4 linked regions of the Drosophila melanogaster genome follow. The protein of the gene in region 1 interacts with the protein of each later gene in a pairwise test. Each region holds a gene or a part of one and is shown on either strand. Other genes may lie near its edges. The genes, in order: Inx7, Sec22, CG14401 and Atpalpha.

Region 1 (4,396 bases):
AATCGGTCCAAATATGGACTTGGTTATGACAGAGCGGCATGTGTAAATGTCTTAATGCAGCTGGAAGCGTTGACTTCAGAAGTTGAGTTCCTCCTATCTCTGGATGTTTTCGATGAAAACCACTTAAACTTCCCAAAACCATAGAAAATATATAAAACTTACAGTAGCAATAACTCACCTGGAGAACCGTCCGTAATCGGGGATACCGTCATGCACATCTATTGAAACTTCACAGTCAGATGGGAGGGTACAAACTGTGACCCAGCTCTGAACTGAACACTGCAGCTCAGTAACAAACACTTTCGAAACCACAACGGATCACTCGAACTGGGTCACCCAACCGCAGTCGCCACTCGACACAAACTGTCGGCCACGCCCACACGCCCCTCCGAAAGGTGTCTGGTCGGTTTTGGTTTTGTTGTGCTTTTTACCCACTTTTTTTTTCAAAATACCTCACACAAAATAACTGTTTTTCTGTCGGCCATTTTGAGAGATTTTGCTTTATGTGAGCCCCGAAAAAAACCTGTTGGATAAAGCTGAAAGCCGAGTCTCTTAATAATAAATATATTTATAATGAAATGATCATATATATATATAAAAAAAAAACAGGTGTAAACAAGACAAAGCTCCAATAATTAATTGCCTAGCGTTAATTGAAATGCATAAATTATACAGGTAACTTTGCCATATCCGAAGTCGATGGCCCTTGGGCTCCGCCGGCAGAGGGCGAGCCATTGCGTCGAAGGTGCAAGAGTGGTGAATCAATCGTATCCAGACCACTGAGCTCCGGATAACGGTTCTTAGCGGGCGTGGGCGGTGCCTCTCGATAGGCATTGACATCGTTATCGTGATCGGGATTGGGGAACTCACTAGCCAAATGATAGATAACCTTCTTGAATAGGAACTCCGAAAGGTTGGAGCGCAGGAAGAAAAGGAACATCCAGTTGGAAAAGTTACACTTATCAATTACCGCCAATAATTCGTTTTCGTCCAGTTGGCCAGGCTTGGCCCAATAGAGAGACCAGCGGGTAAATGTGACACTAATTAAAGTGGGTTAGAAGGGTTATCACATTATGAAAACATATTTCACACCTATATCCATCCACTCACTTTCTGTAGAAGCACAGGGTTAAAATTCTCCAAAGCAGTCCCAGAACAGTAACAATCAAAAGGAAGGCGTACCAGAACCACAGAATAATGTAGATCTTCTCGTTCATGATGTTCAGCGCCATCACGCAAAGGGCATCGTGCATTTGAATGGAGCCAGAGTCACCAAATTTGTGGAACTTGCACTTGGTAATCTTCGGGAATACTAGATCCAAAACGCTCAGCTCGTCGGACCACCGATTTTTCAGGGCATGTGGTCCCAGTGTGAGGAATTGACCGCCCAAAAAACGGTTGGTCCATGTGATCTGCAGCAGAAGATTAATCAGATTGAGCACCTCCGCGAAGACCAAGTGGGCACCCCACGATTGATTCAGCCGCATCCGGTCGATCATTGTGCGACGAATGTCCTTGACCCGCTCCTCCGCCTCCGCCATCGAGGGAATGTTCAGCTTGCCGATACGCAGACTATCGTTCTTCAGGTACCTCGTTAGACCCACCATTCGAAGGCCAAAGACCAGGGCCTTGATCCGGCCGCCCTCCCAACTCTTCCACAGGGCATGGGGAATGTAGAAGCAGAGAGCCTGGAAGAACAGGACAAAGGGCACCCACTGGTAGTATGCATGCCGCTTGATCGTGTCCTTTTCGGGATCGAATGCCCCTATACCAGGTGGCTCACTTCCCGGCCTGTAGGCAGTTTGGTTCTGGTCACGTACCTATTTGGGGTGCAAGCTATGTTAATAAATGATCTACTGCCGCCAAGGCACATAAATAAAATCTATTCTATCATTTGATCATTTCAGGAATGGGTATGTGGCAACATATATCAACCAACTAATAGCAATAAAACGACTCTAAATCGATTAACCCTATTTAAGTTTTAACCAATAATCAAATAGAGTATTGATAACAGTTGCTCTCAATAGATACTTCTGTGTACCCCGTACATAGATATTTTTTTTAATTCCCTGGTGACCTCTTATAATTTTCCCTTTGTGACCCCGCTGACTTACCACTGTGAAGGTGGGCGTGAAGAAGCAGAAGGTGTTGATGACCGGAGACACAACACCGTCGGATAGGCACTGGATGTGCTCCCCGATGTACTGGCGCGACGTGATCAGGAGGGTGGCCACTAGGAGTATTACGAAGGTCCATCGATAGTGCAGCTTGAACACTATATTGTCGATGACCACACGCGTGAGATCGAACTTGAGGTACTGCCTCACCGAACTGAAGGTGTTCAGCATTGTAACGCCTTCGTTATCTTCGGTTTTGGGTTAGGTTCTGGCCCCGATCCGATCCGATCCGATCCCACTTCTACTTCGTTCACTTTCTTACGATGATTACGACAACTATGGCTGGGTGGCAATTGGAAACGGGCTGGCTTCTGGGTTCGGATGGATTTGTGCGCTCCGCTTGCCGCGGCTAGCTCCTCGTAACTGCAAGGCTCGAGACTCTGCACTTGGTCTCCGGGTCTCGGAACCTTCGGTCTCCGGTCTCCGGTCCCCGTTCGCCGATCTTCATCACCATTCCACATTCGTCGGAGAGGGCTTTCTGGCGCCTTATCGACCGCTCATTTTTGGCCAGGAGAGTCGCCCGGGCCCGATAAGATAACTTCGTCGGGCAGAAATACACGGAAATGCCGAATCAGCAATGGTATTGTGTTTAGTTCAGAGTTGTCCAAGAAAAGAGTAAGGGAAATATGAGAACCTACTGGAGTGCGCTACACTTAGCAGGACTTACGTAGACTATTGGACTATGAGAAAAAAAAAAGAAATTTTTTTCAGCTTCTGACTCGCAGTATAAGCTGAGAGAGGGGCACAATCTTTGTCACTTAGGTTTCAGTCTAAAATGTTAGCAATTTAATTCTTTCAGTGTAGGGCTCTCTTGATACCCAAGAAAACTCCGAAGTTTTTCGGTCATATTTCAAATTTCGCCCAAACATGAGTACTTCGGCATGTATTCGGCTCGTGGCTTCATAAGAATCCGAAAATGATAAGACGAAAGTCACAGAAAGAGCGAAAGAAATTATGAAAATAATACTCATTTTCTCAGGGTTTACCTCATCGGTAAGTTGGCTAAATCTCGCCCTGGTGGGTGGGTGAGTAACTTCCCACCCATCGAAATTCATCCAAGATCCAAGAGCAAAGAGGCCAAGATAACCAAGCAAACAATCATAGGAAATATGAATCAGTGCGGGAAAATATATATGTACATATATGACTCAAGAGATTCAGGATATCAGCAAATTAGTTACACTTCCAAAAACATAGCAAAAATCCCTTAGTGATGCAAGAAATGATCACTTGGTTTTAAGAATAACCATAGAGACTTGCATTGAAATCATTCAAGTGTGGAATTGCAAATTCCGCCGTAATCTGGAACTCTCCGGGTCTTAAAGCGTGCCGCTATCGCCACCCATATTGATTCAATACTGCCTATTCTGATGGATGGGACAGTAATTGGATAAGCGGACATATATCGGCTTGGCGTTATCGTATTGACCCAGATCAGTGCTAGACAGAGGGCTATGTACATACTTACTGAGACTCTTCTTCTTAAGATGGATTATTGCTCGGCTGTTTGCCTTTTTGGCGATATCGTTGCAAGGTTCCACGCAAGGCAATCAGGTGGATATTCACCCTGCGCACTATTGTATTTCATTCTTTGGCCCCGACAATCTTATCTTCCAGTCAATCCCCAGAAAAGACAACGAGTGACTGGCTTACTTACTTTCTAGAATGTAACGGAATTCCAACAGAGATTCGCACTATCAGCTCATAAGTATCTACATATATCTGTTGCTTATCTAAATAGCTCGCCTAGGCATTGTATTTTGGTGCTTATTACTTAAGCGCTCAAGTGGCCGCTCCAAAACTTTGCCGGATAAGATAGTCAAAAATGGCCCCTTTACATACGTACATATAACATTTATAAGTCGTGCGTAACTAGAGACCAGTTAACTATATTAGTAATTGCAACATTTTTAGCCGGTTGACTGCTCGAATTTACCTCTACTTGGGTTTCCCAGGAAATTGCTATGATTACGGCTACTACTTTTGCTTTTGCTTACGCCTCCCAGTTGACGAAAGTTCATTGATTCATGTTCAAATAACAATCGCATTGCTTTATTGGCATAGCCCAGATTTTGATATAAACTGATAGGCCATGCACGTTCTTTTGTCTTTGGCCATTTTGCAATGAAATTTAAATAAAGCAAACCACAATGAAAACGAAATTCGAACCATTCAAGCAAGGCGCTCCACACGTATTACCCTCGGCCACAGATTCA
Region 2 (4,516 bases), 6.2 Mb from region 1:
TCGCATAAACTAAAACTTCGATTTTATAGACCGCGTAATTTATTTTCGATCCCACTCACCACCAGAGCTTCAGCAGAACCACAGCCTAGTACACGGAAGCCAGAGGAGGTTGCAAAATTCGGTAGATGATTGCTCTTCTCCCCAGTTAATTAATTATTGCAGACCATTTCACACATCCCCCCCCACAAAGCATATGCATTCATATGTAGTTATGTAGAGAGCGTATATATGTATTCGGATTCGATATTTCACAAAACTATACACACCAAATTACGATATAGCAGTGTATATGGCAACAGCGCATTTTTTTCCTAATTGTAAAGATTTGATATTACAAATTTATATGCGCTGAGACGCAACGAAAACGGACATTTAGCGGGACGATATGAGACCGAATGGGATCGGGATCGGATCAGATCGAGAAATTCATTGAGAAGAATCGTAATTCGAAGGCTTGCAAGTGGATATAAACTATAAAGGCGAATGTATCACATCACACTCAGTGAATCGAAAAATATATAAAGGGAAATTATCGATTAAAACTAAACCAAAAATCAGATGCAGTTTCTATCTTTCGGGCTTGGGTAGTGCATCGAACACAGTTTTGCCTTCTCTTTATTAAACAATATAAATTTATTTATTTGCCTTAATTTTACACATATAAATTGCCTAAAACTGTTATTGTTTATTTCCCTTTCTCTTCTTTTCTTTTCTTTCGGTTCGCTTGTTATCTTTTCTTTTTCTTTTGTTTTTTGCGGTGTTTTTGCAGCTTGTATCAAGCACTCCGCCGGATTCGGATTCGCTATGCAGCGATCCATCTACAATCTAGACATTTATACACACACACACGGATCGACGCTCATAATTTACAGATTTGGGTCGTAGTCAACCGACTTGGCTCAAAGGTCGTCTAAACTAAACCCGATTCGTAATCAAATATTTAGAAAACCTGCGCAACGGAAGCGCGAGGCGAAATGAAATGGGAGTTAATAATTAATGGAATCCCAGACCGTAAATAACGCAAAGGTAAGTTAATATTAGAAGTAAAACAATCCTCGGGAGCGATGCGTATGCTGGTAGGGGGTTTCGCTATTCACTTTTCGCTTGCCTATGATTCATAGATATGAATGAATATGGTGTGGTTGGTGGCGTGGAGTACAGGTGCACGCGTAATCTAAATGTCTTTTGGTCTTGCGTCCTTGACGCTTGACTCCAACAAAGAACGCGCCGCTCCGAGTGGCCATGGAACTGCTTGATATTACAGAACCCAGAAATACATGATGAACACTAGAAGTATCATGCCCAAGGCCATCGCCTTCACGTACATGGACTTTCGGTTGAGCAGCTTGGCGTCCTTCTTGTACTTCTGTGACATCATCGATAGGTTCTGGGTCTTGGTGTCGAGTTCTGGAAGGAAAAACGGGGTGAACGTCAGTTGAATCCCACAATCACGCGTAGATAGTCGCGTAGATAGTAGTAGTAGTAGTTACCCGCCAGCACTGTGCCACGTTGGAGCACGTCGTCAATGTTTTGCACCATGATGCGCTGCACATCCTGCAGCTGTGTGTTGATGTTGCTGATGTTGCGTCTGCGGTCCGTCAACTGTTTTTTCGCCTTCTGTATGTACACGTCAAACTCGATGAATGCGTATGGGCGAGTCACTGAGTTTACTCGCCGGCCGTAGTTAGCATGGAACTCCTGGGCCAGGTCCTCCAGGTAATTGAAGGCCAGTCGCTTTGAGTACATCTTGTCCACCATCACCAGGTAGCAGACGTCGTTCTCGATTAGGTAGCTGCAGGGAAAATGTGGAATATTTTAATTGGGGCGCCCATTGCATCTTCTGGCTTTCGCAAGCAGTGAGCGTTTAATTTAACTTCGTATCAAATTACATCTATACTCTTTGTTCCGAAACTAAATCAACTGTCACTGACTACCCGCGGAGCCGAGAAACCTTTGTACATGGTGTGATTTTAATGGTCTATGCCCTGGCAAAGGTGCCACGAATTGGGGCTACTCACTGGAATAGGTAGGGTCCGGTCTCGATACTGCATCGAGCCGGGGAGTGGGTACCCAGCTTGCGGAAGAGCATCTTAGCCTGGTTTTGGTAGTCCAGTATGCTGCGTCCGCTCTGAAAGTGAAAGCGACTTAGTTGCGGGAGCGGAACGGAATGCAACGTATTAGAAAGTGATGCACACGGGTACCTGCTCGTCATCCTGCATGGTCCCCACCAGAGGAAGGCCATCGATGACCCTGGCTATCATGGTCAGCAGCGCCATGGCTTCTGCTGTTCCTGGTTACGATTGCTCGCGGAACTACGGGGCTGCGTCTCAAGTCTTCTTGGCCACGGCTGCACTCTGCCGTCGCCTCCTTCCACTGGCTGCTACTTATTCCGATGTGGATCCGCTGCAGTCCAGTCACCAGTGTGTGAAGTTTGTGTCCGGTCGTCCTCTTCCACTTCTTGGATTTCACAACTCAGCCGATCGGTCGGTGCTTGCCGCAGTGCTCCTGCGATGCCCGGGACTTCCAAATGGACTCTGCCTCGAATCGGGAACGTTCGCTGCTACCATGAAAACTGTGTTGCAACGTCGCGGCGGGCGGGTGTCTGGGATTGGAGTGGATTGGAGGTTTCTGTGGATGTTTGTTGCAATGTAACCACGTCACCGGTATGTCCGTGTAAATATACCGAATGGTGCGAGGCATACCGAATACCGCAGAGTATCTCAGAGTACCGACCGCCAACGGTCACATTAACGGAAGTCCATTATACCATTCGTTTCTTCGTTTCTTTAAATGCACGATATGGAAATACGCTTTCAACTCGTTTTCAAGCCAGCATGCCCCTGAAAATGGCGCTTTCGAGTTTCCGGGCTTTCCCGCAAAGCTATTTTCCCAGGTCTACAGCTTTGACAGCTTGCGCTCTGCTGTAATGTGGAGTTTGCTTTTTGTATGCGTGTGTTGTACACAGGATGCGGATTAAGGATCCCCAGAAGTTCAATAGAAGTACAATACTTCGATTCACCCATGAACCTGGCGCCCAGATGCATTGTTCTATAGCTGTTTTGAGTCCCAATCCGACCAATTGGTCTTTGGTATTTTTATTTTTTATATTGGCAATCGAGTTGCGAATATATTATTTCAAATATTTAAATATAAATAAATATTTATTTAAATTATTAACCAACATAAATCGAAATCCCTGGCACGTCGCGCCGCTTTCGCAGACTCAAATCCGCTGGCGCAGATGCCGGAAGTGGGTTGGACCCCCCAAAAGTCGATGACCAAGCCCAACCGGTTCGCCCGCGAAGACCATCCTCTGCATGGACATCCACATCCATCCCCAGAAGGAAAAGTGGTTCGCCCGCGAAACCGGACTTGGACTTGAGGCAGGGACCCAACTATATGGACTACCTGTGGTACTTGGCGATGGAGCTGCGTGCGAATGTGCGTTTCAAGCGACCACCGGAAAAATCTTTGCACTGGGAAAATAATTCATATCGAATGCGACTTATTCATCTATGTATATTATGAATTGAAGCCCTGCAAGCGAATGCGAATAACCATTCCCATTTCTGCTCATACCGAAGAATGCTAAGATATACACAAGTTTGTGATCAAAGCGGGAAAGCTTATGACATTATTTAAAATGCTTGTACTGTGATCTTAAATCGAATGCATTTCAATTAACTCTGAGCCCATCGAGGACTGCGGTCAACCTATTTTCTCATCGTGTGATCGGATCACCCGCAGCGGAATGCGTGCGCTTCCGTTTTGCTCGGCTTGGCCTCCTTCCTCGTTCCGTTGAAAGCAGGTATGTATATATAAGCCACTGCTCCACCTAGAGGCTCCACAATACAAAGTCAGTCATGGCCGGGTCAGTTCGTGCGACGCTCCTGGGTCTCCTCATGCAGATCCTGTGCAATGGGCTGGCTGGTCAGCAGCTGCTCCTCACACGTCCCCAAAGGAGCCTGTTCGAGACTCCGCTGGGTCACGTAGAGCAAGTGGAACAAGTGCCCTCTTTAGGCTGGAATAGTGTTGGTAGTGGACTCGGAGTGGGCGAGTGGCCCTACAGCCCCGTTGGTCTCGGCCACATGAGCAAGGATGAGCTGCTGACCCTGCTGGAGGCCTGGAAGGAGGTCGAGGAGGAATCGGCCACAACAACGACTGCGTCGCCAGCGGATGCCAGCACACGTAGACCTCCTCCGCCTCCACTGCCACCACCACCACCTCCTCCGCCACGACCCACACCCATACCAGTCTCCGTTGCAATCCCGTCACCGGCTGTTCCGCCCTCCGGCACTCCCATTACAGTGCGGCTCCCAGCCTTTGTGCCTGTGCGTCTGGCTGCCGTGTTTACTCCGCTTGCCGGTGGACAAGCTGATAGTGCTGTTCCGTCTGCCAACGGAGTCGGAGGGGCTGGAGGAGATGATTTGTCCACCGATGACGTGACAGATGATGACGGCGTCTCTACCCGGCTCTTTCGCTTTTTGCCCATGCCAGGAGCTCGAACGAGACCGCA
Region 3 (3,992 bases), on another chromosome or scaffold:
CGGATCGTTTCAATTGCGCCGAGCAGAGCTATAAATAAGCCCGCCACTTGAATTATTTTCCATAAAACCATCAAATACAACAAATTCCAATCACCAGCGAGAAAGGTGGCAAACCGATTTTCCTCCCATCAACAATGCAGCATTATTTACTTTTGTTTGGCGCGCTCATCTCGCTACTGGCCTCAGGTTTGTTTTTGTTCTGTTTGGACTTGTTTCTTTCGAATTTGTACTTTGCTTTGCGAGTTCTGCGTTTGCCGCGACCTGTCGGCTGTCCCCGCCTGATCTCATTTCTGCCATAAATAAGACGCGTCTCTGGTCTTCCCATCCCAATGCCACTAGCTTACGCCATCAAGTGCTATGCCTGCGAATCCGTCTACGAGGCTAGTTGCGGCGACGACTTCGAAGTCGAGAACCATTTTAAATACGACTGCGCCTTCATTGCTCCTCCGCGATTCCTGGAGAACGATCTGCTCAGCGTGAATGCCACGGCCTGTTTGAAACGGGTATTCAAGGGTGAGTTTAAACGAATATGTTTCTCAAAACACGTTCCTACGGATTTGAAGCCTTGCTAGGATAGTAACTTTAATAGTTATGAATCAATAGGTATAGTAAAAAGAAAAGAAAGTTTGAAATATAAGATTAAAAAGTGGATATATCGTAATTCACCAAAAATGTATCTATCCACCAGATATTTTTTTAAAGTAATTGTTCATTAATTACAAATACAGTCCGATTAGCAGCGGACAAAAAAAGTGTGTTCCGAAAGGTAAATGTCTGTATACTCATTAAACATTCGCAATGTTGTCCGTCCGAGATTTGTATTTACTCTTCAGATAATAATTTCTTTAATGATTTGTGACGCAAATCAAAACAAATAAAATTAATTATGTGAAACAGTCATACATACATTCATAGACATACGTGCATATACGGACAGCTGTGACCTTATTTCAGAAGAATCTCGTAGACTTTCCAACAATCTCTTGATATTTTGGACAATACGTACACATTTCGTATAAGCCCATTAAAGACGGACAATAAAAAATGTGTTTATTTACGATAAGTCAGCCCGAAAGTAGACTAACCCAATGTTTTGCCTCTGCAGAAAACGGCGTGCGTAAGATCGTCAGAGGCTGCTACTTCGGCGAGGTAAATGCCACCGATGTGTGGTGCAAAATGGACCCCACCCTGTCGGCGGTGCAGAACTCAAGTTGTCATGTGTGCGACAGCGAGAACTACTGCAACGGATCGGAAAATCATCCAGTGGATAAATGGAAAATCTTCGGCAGTCTGGTCTTGTTTCTCTTGGCAACTCAACTACTCTGAGGCGACAGGAGACGAAGTGGAAATGTGGAAATGTGGAGCGTGAAATGAACATTAAAAGGCACAGTAGCTTAAGTAAACCTAGTTCAATTTAGATGTATTCCCAAGGCCCAGGACTATCAATTAGTAAAGCCCACATTAGTAGAGCACACCATCCACAAAACCGTTTAGCCAAATCTGCCCGGCCCACTGTATTAATGGCTAATCAACGCCGAACATGGCGTATGAGCAACATCAGCACACCGAAATGAGCCGAAAAGCTGGCAAACAAATTTCGAACGATCCAAATACAAACTAATAAAAACTAATTTTACACAGAATGCCAAATTGTTTATTTGTTCAAATGCCACTAATGAACCTTGCCTGAAATAAATGGATTGGCGAGGAAAGGGCAAAGGGAATGGCAGGGCAGGGTAGGGCAAGGCAGAGCACGATGTCAACACGCATTGGCCAGGGAAAAGCCAACGATGGAGAAGTGAAAATGTGAAAAAATCTGTTATGAAAATCAAATTCACATTCTGAATGCGATTGTTCGCACGTTCAGTTCAGTTTCTGTTTAGTTCAGTCGCGTGTGTGCATCGCTTCGAGTCGGTGGTCGGTGGTCGGTGGTCGGTGGTCGTTGGTCGGCGGCTTGTGGCTATATAGCGCATCTATCATGTGATTAAAATCGGTCCGGCAACCGAGAAGACAACATCTGTATTCGCGCACGTATCGGCATCGCCAAGCTATAGCTATAGCCATACTGACTCACCGCGACCGCCGGACGACAGTGGAATCAACTGTTTTCGGGGGCGGTACGATGGCGATGATGGCAGCGCTTGCCTCGCTCTTTCTGCTCGTCACGCTGGCCAGCTCAGGTGAGATTCTCGATTCGCGCCCGCCACTCATCACATTCCTGCCCCGAAATTGTAGTTCATATTTTGAAATATCTCAGAAGCAGAAGACTGTCAACACGATTTATTGCGAATCAGTGAATTTAGGGTTTTACCGACTGTTTTGCGGGAAACTGTTCAGTAAAGAAAAACATATAAACAGCTTTCTTTGTTTATTTCATTGTTTACGTATAGAGTCTAAAAAGTTCAAGAATTATATTACAAATTTTAATTAACTTACATCTGAAAAGAAATTAACGTTTTGGAACATTAAGAATGGTTTTAAAGCTAATTGTTTACTTTAAGATAAAGATAAGGTCTACCAAAATGCTCATCCATTGTTTTCCTTTCTGTGCACTCTCGTGGACACACATTTTTACGGATGTCGTCATCAGCCCGTGCCATTACCTGCTACGAATGTGATTCCGTCAATAATCCAGGGTGTGGGGAGCGATTTGTGGGCGATGACATATCCACGACGGATTGCGATGTGGTGGCGAACATGCGATCCCTGGGAGCGGAGGCCACTTGCCTTACCAAGTACCATGAGGGAAGTGAGTATACGAGTATGGTTTCTGGAAAATATGTCAAGGAAATCCCTTATAAAATGACTCACTTTTCGCAGTGCCAGGAGACACGCGCTTCGTGAGGCGCTCCTGTTACTTTGGCGATGCCTCCCCAATAGGCGTCAGTTGCGACGATGGACCAGATCCTGTGGTGCCCTTTATGAACTTCCTCGGCTGCACACTGTGCGATACGGATTTGTGCAACGCAGCCGCTGGATTATCCACACTACCCTTGGTCATTGCCCTTTCGATACTCGGACTGCTTGTCCTACTGGCGACCTAAGGAAGATGAGTCGCGTGGAACGGCGGCGGTCGTATTTCAATGTTTCCTATTAAAAGTAATATACTCCAGTATTGTATAAAAGATTGTTGTTTTCTTGGTCGACTAACTAACATGACTTCTTATACTCATGCAAAGGGCGCAGAACAAGAACGACCCAAAGTTTATCCTTATATTCTTAATTTTCTAAGGCAAATGGCTTAAGTTATAAAAAGCCTACTGAATATGTAATAAATTTAACTTAAAGCCCCTAGAAGAATGAAATAGAAGCAAATATTTTTTAATTTTTATTTTATTTGATTTTCTTTCCATTGTTTTTATACATCCACTAAAATGATTTAACATACATATATATTTATATAATTATACTTGTTTGATTTAATATAATTTATTGAATAAAATTTACTCGTTTCCTACTCTACTAGCGTGTGTATGTAAGTATGTGTATGTGTGTATTGCAATTAGGATCATTAATTACAAAATATTCATAAAATAAATTAAAATAACACTTTCAAATCGATACACACAATTTCTGTTTCAATATCTAGTCCATTGATTTCTTGATCGTCAAACAATTCTAGTTTTACATTTATTTCCAGTTTATAGCATAAATTATTTTATGTAGGCAAACAGATAACATCTTTGCTTATTATCTTAATGGGTTTAGCTGCGGATTATATTCATAACACTTCTGGGCTACACATAAATAACATTCAAATATAAATATATGGATATTTATCAAGATATTGTATATAAACTACACATTGAGAACAATTCAGATAGAAAACAATTTATGTACAAAAGATTGTGTTTGTTTTTGCTTCACCAATACTGTCCATGCTGGCGTTGTCCGGCGGAATCTCTACGATCCCAGCGAGGACCACTGCCGCGTCAATGCCACAAACAATCGTCGTCCATCTTTCCGCGTCTTAAAGTCTATCAACAATTCAT
Region 4 (4,917 bases), on another chromosome or scaffold:
GTGGCCCGGTTGTTGAACCACAAACACCCAGACACACAGAAACACTAAGCACCAGCACGCAGCAGAGGCAAAGACACCTGTTGATTGGGCCTTTCAGGTTATTTGAGCCAAAGCCAATGCCAAAGCAAAAGCAAAAGCGAAAGCCAAACCCGAAGACAGTGGCAGTGGCAACAAGGCGATTTCCCCTCAGCTTATGTGGGCTCAATTTTGTAGTCGAGCCGGCTTCCTTCTAATGGCCATGGGATATTGAATCGATTGACGGGGCCGCAGGATGAGAGGGCGGGCAAAAGGATGGGCAAAGTGGAAAGTGGGTTGCTCTGCAGCTGAGCGAAAAGTCGTTTCGCCTAAGCAACCGCAGCCCCTTTGGAGCTGCTTCCTTGTTTGTGCTCGTGTCGACAACAATTGATTTCAAAATATTAATTAACCGGATAAACCAATTGAAGCTTCCGGAGAAGGTAAGGGCAAATGAAACCGTGCAAACTGTGCTCTTTGTAAGAGTGTGCAAATTTGGCATTTCCTTGTAATTGGTCACCGAATTGATCAATTGAATGAATCTGTAGAAATTTAGATGCCATTTTGCTGGGAAGCTAACTTAGATAGAACATGCTAGCCTTCAAGAACAAAATGACTTGAGACATCTAATTATCCTGATTATATTTGGGGTTTAGAGTTGCGATAAATTCAGCTTCGACCAAGTGGAGGTCAGCATTTCGGATGATAAAATGAGATCTTGTGCGGACGGAGATAAGTTTTCCAAATGCCTGGTCGTTTGGAGGATTGTTATGTTTATAGCTCCATTACACTGACAAATTGGAAGATCTTCGTCTTGAGTTCCACATCGTGACTCGTACTTATCAATAGTGTTCTCAATTAAATTCATAATTTAATTATAATCAATTACGCGGTCTGTTGGTTTCGGGCGAACCTTCAGTTGGTGCTTCCAATGATAAGTTGCTGGATAATGATGACGAGGGGTATCAGGTGTATCTTGAAATTTAAGTATAATTTAATTAGTTTAAGTAAGCTGAACTTATAATCTCCAAGATGCGTTTTTCCCCACAGGATCGTCGAATTGCTGAGCCTTCGAGAATCTCTGGCCCGTTTGAAGCCATTCATCGCAACAATGATCAACGATCAATACTGAACATAGGAAATAAATTTGAGAAGATTCAAGTCCAGTTGAACATTTCTTGGAGAGTAGCTAATTTATACGTTTAACGAACGCCATCTACACTTCGTTCTATCTGCCACTTAAAATTATTTTGCTTATACAGCGCCACCTATGTTTGGAATGCAAGAAGACGCGCGTATTGTATTTGGTATTTTATTATCTCTTGAAATTGAATACACATAACTATAACGTTGGCAACTCTCCATATCTGTAAATATTCAAGATGGCAACTATCGTAGTGTGTATATTTTAATCTGGCAGCTCCAGTAATTTTCACGCTTGCAGTTGATATAAAAAGTACATAAAAGTATGTTATTTCCAAATTGAGGTGAAAAATTAAACATATTTTTAACTTGGTATTTTAAATTAGCAATTATTAATGAGAGTATTGAAATCCAAACATATCCAGATATTAATATTTGAAGGTAGCATAGTAACAACTTTCGGTAAATAAATATCCAGGTATATTTAAAATACTTAACTTTTCATTTTAAATAAACCAGACTGTTCGGACTATTGACAAATTATAATAGTAATTTTATTCATAATGCAATATTTACAATTACATTTTCTTAACCGATTGCCATCCCGATTTCTACACCGGCTTATTCGATACAATAGGCCGATAACTCTCCATTTGGTAGTCACGACTTCTAAAATATCGATACGTTGGAATTGTGTAAATTTTCCACATCCCTGGGAATAATCGAGTTAAATTAAAATAACATGGCGTTAAGGTCGGATTACGAGGTGAGCAAAAATAAAGCCTGGATTACGATGAAAACTAAGTTAGTTAAGTGAGAAAATGGTTAAGTTTAAACTGTTGTTAGACCATGACGAGGGAACCAAAAAGAACCAGGGCCAAAACAAATTGGCCAAGTGATACGCTGAGCGGGCGTTGTTTTTAGTGGGAAAAATCGAAGCCCGAGTGCGCTGTGTGGGTGTGTGCGTGTATCTGTGTTGTGTACATTGCTTTTGGTGTTGTTCTTGCTGCTGCTGCTGCTACTACTATTTGTTTTGTTGCTGGTGAAAAAGCGAGAAGCAACGACAACAACAACAAAGCCGAGGCGACGCCCAACGAAGTTTACTAATTTGTTTGCGGGCTTTCGGTAACTGCAAACGGAATCGAATGTGAAACGGGGCGCAGTTACTAATCCTATTGGATCTGGATGGGCCTATATCCGCTTACCTGCTGATCTGTAAAAATAGCCTGGGCTTAGAGCCTGGCTTTTGACTTTTTTCTCGAATTTGTATTCGCTCTCCCTTTCTCTTGCTCTCTCTCTCTCTCTCTGCCTCTCTGTCTCTCTCTCTCTCGCTTTCCAGGTGCGCTTAGCTGGCATGCGCAATTTGCATTTCCAGGCCGACCAGTTTCCCAAATTTTCCACTTTCCCGGCGCGAAAGCTTTTCGCTTTTCCGTGCTTGGAAATCTTCCAGTTTTCGGCTTACATAACCGGTACTGCTGCCGCCCCTCCCGAACCACGCCCCATTCCGCCGCATCTCGCAGATTTCATTATTGGAATCTCGAGCTCTAGAACGAAACTACCCTGCATAACACGTTTATTTTTCCATTTTCCGTGCTTTCCCTCCTTCCGGAATTGGTGTCATTGGGCCGAGTAGTGCGCTGCTAATTACACACACTGGCACATTAGCGTAAATCGACGTACTTCTTACCGTACTTTTTTCTCAGTACGTAGCCCTTACTTTCCCTTCCCTACCCCCTCACCATTCGATTAGTTACTAAATGCCCCACCGATGACGCCACTTAATTACCCCGCAGAAGGTAATGAGTTCTTCGCCAGGGTTGTTGTTTCCACCCGGGCTTTCGGTTCTGTTCCTAGGGCTAGACCACCAATTCTAAGTCCGTATTGCCAGCTCTATTGATTTTGGGGCTTGTCTAAGGGCAGGTCACACACACGCACGCACCCACACACATACTGGTTCGACGGCCCGAAAGTATGCAAAACTATAGAGCAAGCGGTCTGAATCCACTCGCAACAAACAGTGGGTCCAGATATTATTTGTAACGGGAAAACTTGAAAAGAACGCTTAAGACCTCACTTAGACTTGAAAGTGTCTTGTAGAATATATTTAGATATTATTATATAATTATTATAATATATATTATATTGTGCATATTTGTATTGTTATAAAATTAAGTATGTAATTCCAAAATTACGTCTTTATTAGTATTGTAGTGGTATGCATATTTTAAGAATCAAAATAAGTTACGCAAATTATTTTAAGTTTAAAAACATTTGTGGTTGGGTTTATTGGGTTGGGTTTCATACAATTAATTTTATAAAATATGACGCATTTCCCAACGGATTTTCAAGGGCAAATTCTGATGATAATATTGTTGGTGTAGAATACAACGTTGCATAATTATTATAATTCAATCTGCCGGACTACGACATCTTATATCTTAACCCAGTGTGCTCAGTGGAAATTCTATTATGATTTCACGCACAAATCCGCGTAAAGCTGAGTTATGTACGAGTATATCTCACATCCCCCCACCAGCGTTGTGGCTTCGTTTTGTATGCTGACTCATGCGCTTTCAATTGAAGTCAATTTAAGAAAGCACATCAAAAATCATGAAACTACAATCTGACGATGCTCTAAGAACGCGATAATGAAGTTCCCTTCCTCTCAATGTGCGTTCCATAAGTAAATGATTTGGAATTAAGGGCCAGCCAAAACGAGAACTAGTTGGTATATGTATGTATGTATGCATCTACCCGTTTATCAGTCGAAAAATGCAGATAAAGCAATTAAGAGTTTATGGAGAGGACGGCAAATAAGCTGAATAATGTGCTTCCAACGTGGTAATGGCAGGTTCTAAATGCTAACACCCAGGATTTGAATACTATCAGCAGTTATCAGCGTTGACATGTAGTACACACACCTATACTATATATTAACCAGATATTTTGTGCACCCGAATAGACGGGCCCCTTCCCTTTTTGACCAGTTTTACCCGGCTCGGAGATTTTAGGTTCGCGTTAACTACTTAACAGATTGCCGATGGCAGTAAAAGCGACAGTGATAATAATTACAACTGGAAAATACCAGAAAACCGTCCGACAGAGGTGGTGACTTGCTTTCGGCAATCAAAGCGTGGCAGCAAAACAATATTGGCCGTTTTAATTCAATTACGCGCCAATAAAAATCTAATCAACTGACAATGGCAAACCGTTTGAATAGATCTTGTTGGAAAAAGCCATCTACGCTATGTGGGCATCATCAATTGGCGGCCATAATCGCAAGATGTGGAAATTATCACCTCGCCCATTGACTGTTTGCTGTCACATCCAGCACACAGATTGCATTCGACAAGGACTTCGATTTGTTTCGCTGCGGTGTGATATTTGGCACATGCCCAGTTTGCGTCAATGGGTAGGGTCTTAATTACTAACGATTGCATAACCCGCTATTAGGGGTCTGGGCCTCCAGTTTCCCAGGTATCGGTATCTGTATCTGTGCCTTTGCGCTATATTTACCTTTCGTCTGCTTATCAGATAACACTCGCTCGACCAACACTTGTAGATTAAGTTCTAGAGCGGTACGTTGATTTATTTTCGTTTTCGTTTGTTTTCGAGTTGGTCTCCAGCTTGTAGGTCTCTCAAGGTCCATCGATCATTACCCTTCAGGGGTGGCTTAGTTCCGAAGGGGTAGTTTATTGTCCAGCTACCTGAAGTAGCTGAGCCGGAGCTCAACAATGGCTCAATTGTTCCTGTTCGCCACCG

Evidence for each region.
Region 2: the proteins of Inx7 (region 1) and Sec22 interact in a two-hybrid assay, tested with the Drosophila melanogaster proteins (one large-scale study listed by BioGRID).
Region 3: the proteins of Inx7 (region 1) and CG14401 interact in a two-hybrid assay, tested with the Drosophila melanogaster proteins (one large-scale study listed by BioGRID).
Region 4: the proteins of Inx7 (region 1) and Atpalpha interact in a two-hybrid assay, tested with the Drosophila melanogaster proteins (one large-scale study listed by BioGRID).

What each region holds. Positions count from the first base shown.
Region 1 is NC_004354.4:6,991,063-6,995,458, forward strand, and holds Inx7 (innexin 7), read right to left. Parts: upstream 2,551-4,396; 5' UTR 2,352-2,550; coding exon 2,118-2,351; intron 1,821-2,117; coding exon 1,111-1,820; intron 1,041-1,110; coding exon 668-1,040; 3' UTR 550-667; downstream 1-549. UniProt on the Drosophila melanogaster protein: Structural components of the gap junctions.
Region 2 is NC_004354.4:804,245-808,760, reverse strand, and holds Sec22 (secretory 22), read right to left. Parts: upstream 2,686-4,516; 5' UTR 2,277-2,685; coding exon 2,196-2,276; intron 2,129-2,195; coding exon 2,019-2,128; intron 1,793-2,018; coding exon 1,491-1,792; intron 1,408-1,490; coding exon 1,259-1,407; 3' UTR 561-1,258; downstream 1-560. Other genes in the region: CG13358 (uncharacterized protein), read left to right, coding at 3,864-4,516.
Region 3 is NT_033779.5:20,868,012-20,872,003, forward strand, and holds CG14401 (uncharacterized protein), read left to right. Parts: upstream 1-1,842; 5' UTR 1,843-2,122; coding exon 2,123-2,336; intron 2,337-2,590; coding exon 2,591-2,749; coding exon of another isoform or gene 2,750-2,761; intron 2,762-2,820; coding exon 2,821-3,044; 3' UTR 3,045-3,461; downstream 3,462-3,992. Other genes in the region: CG31675 (uncharacterized protein), read left to right, coding at 135-186, 340-513, 1,106-1,326.
Region 4 is NT_033777.3:20,946,909-20,951,825, forward strand, and holds the start of Atpalpha (Na pump alpha subunit), read left to right. Parts: upstream 1-1,871; 5' UTR 1,872-1,897; coding exon 1,898-1,921; intron 1,922-4,917. UniProt on the Drosophila melanogaster protein: This is the catalytic component of the active enzyme, which catalyzes the hydrolysis of ATP coupled with the exchange of sodium and potassium ions across the plasma membrane.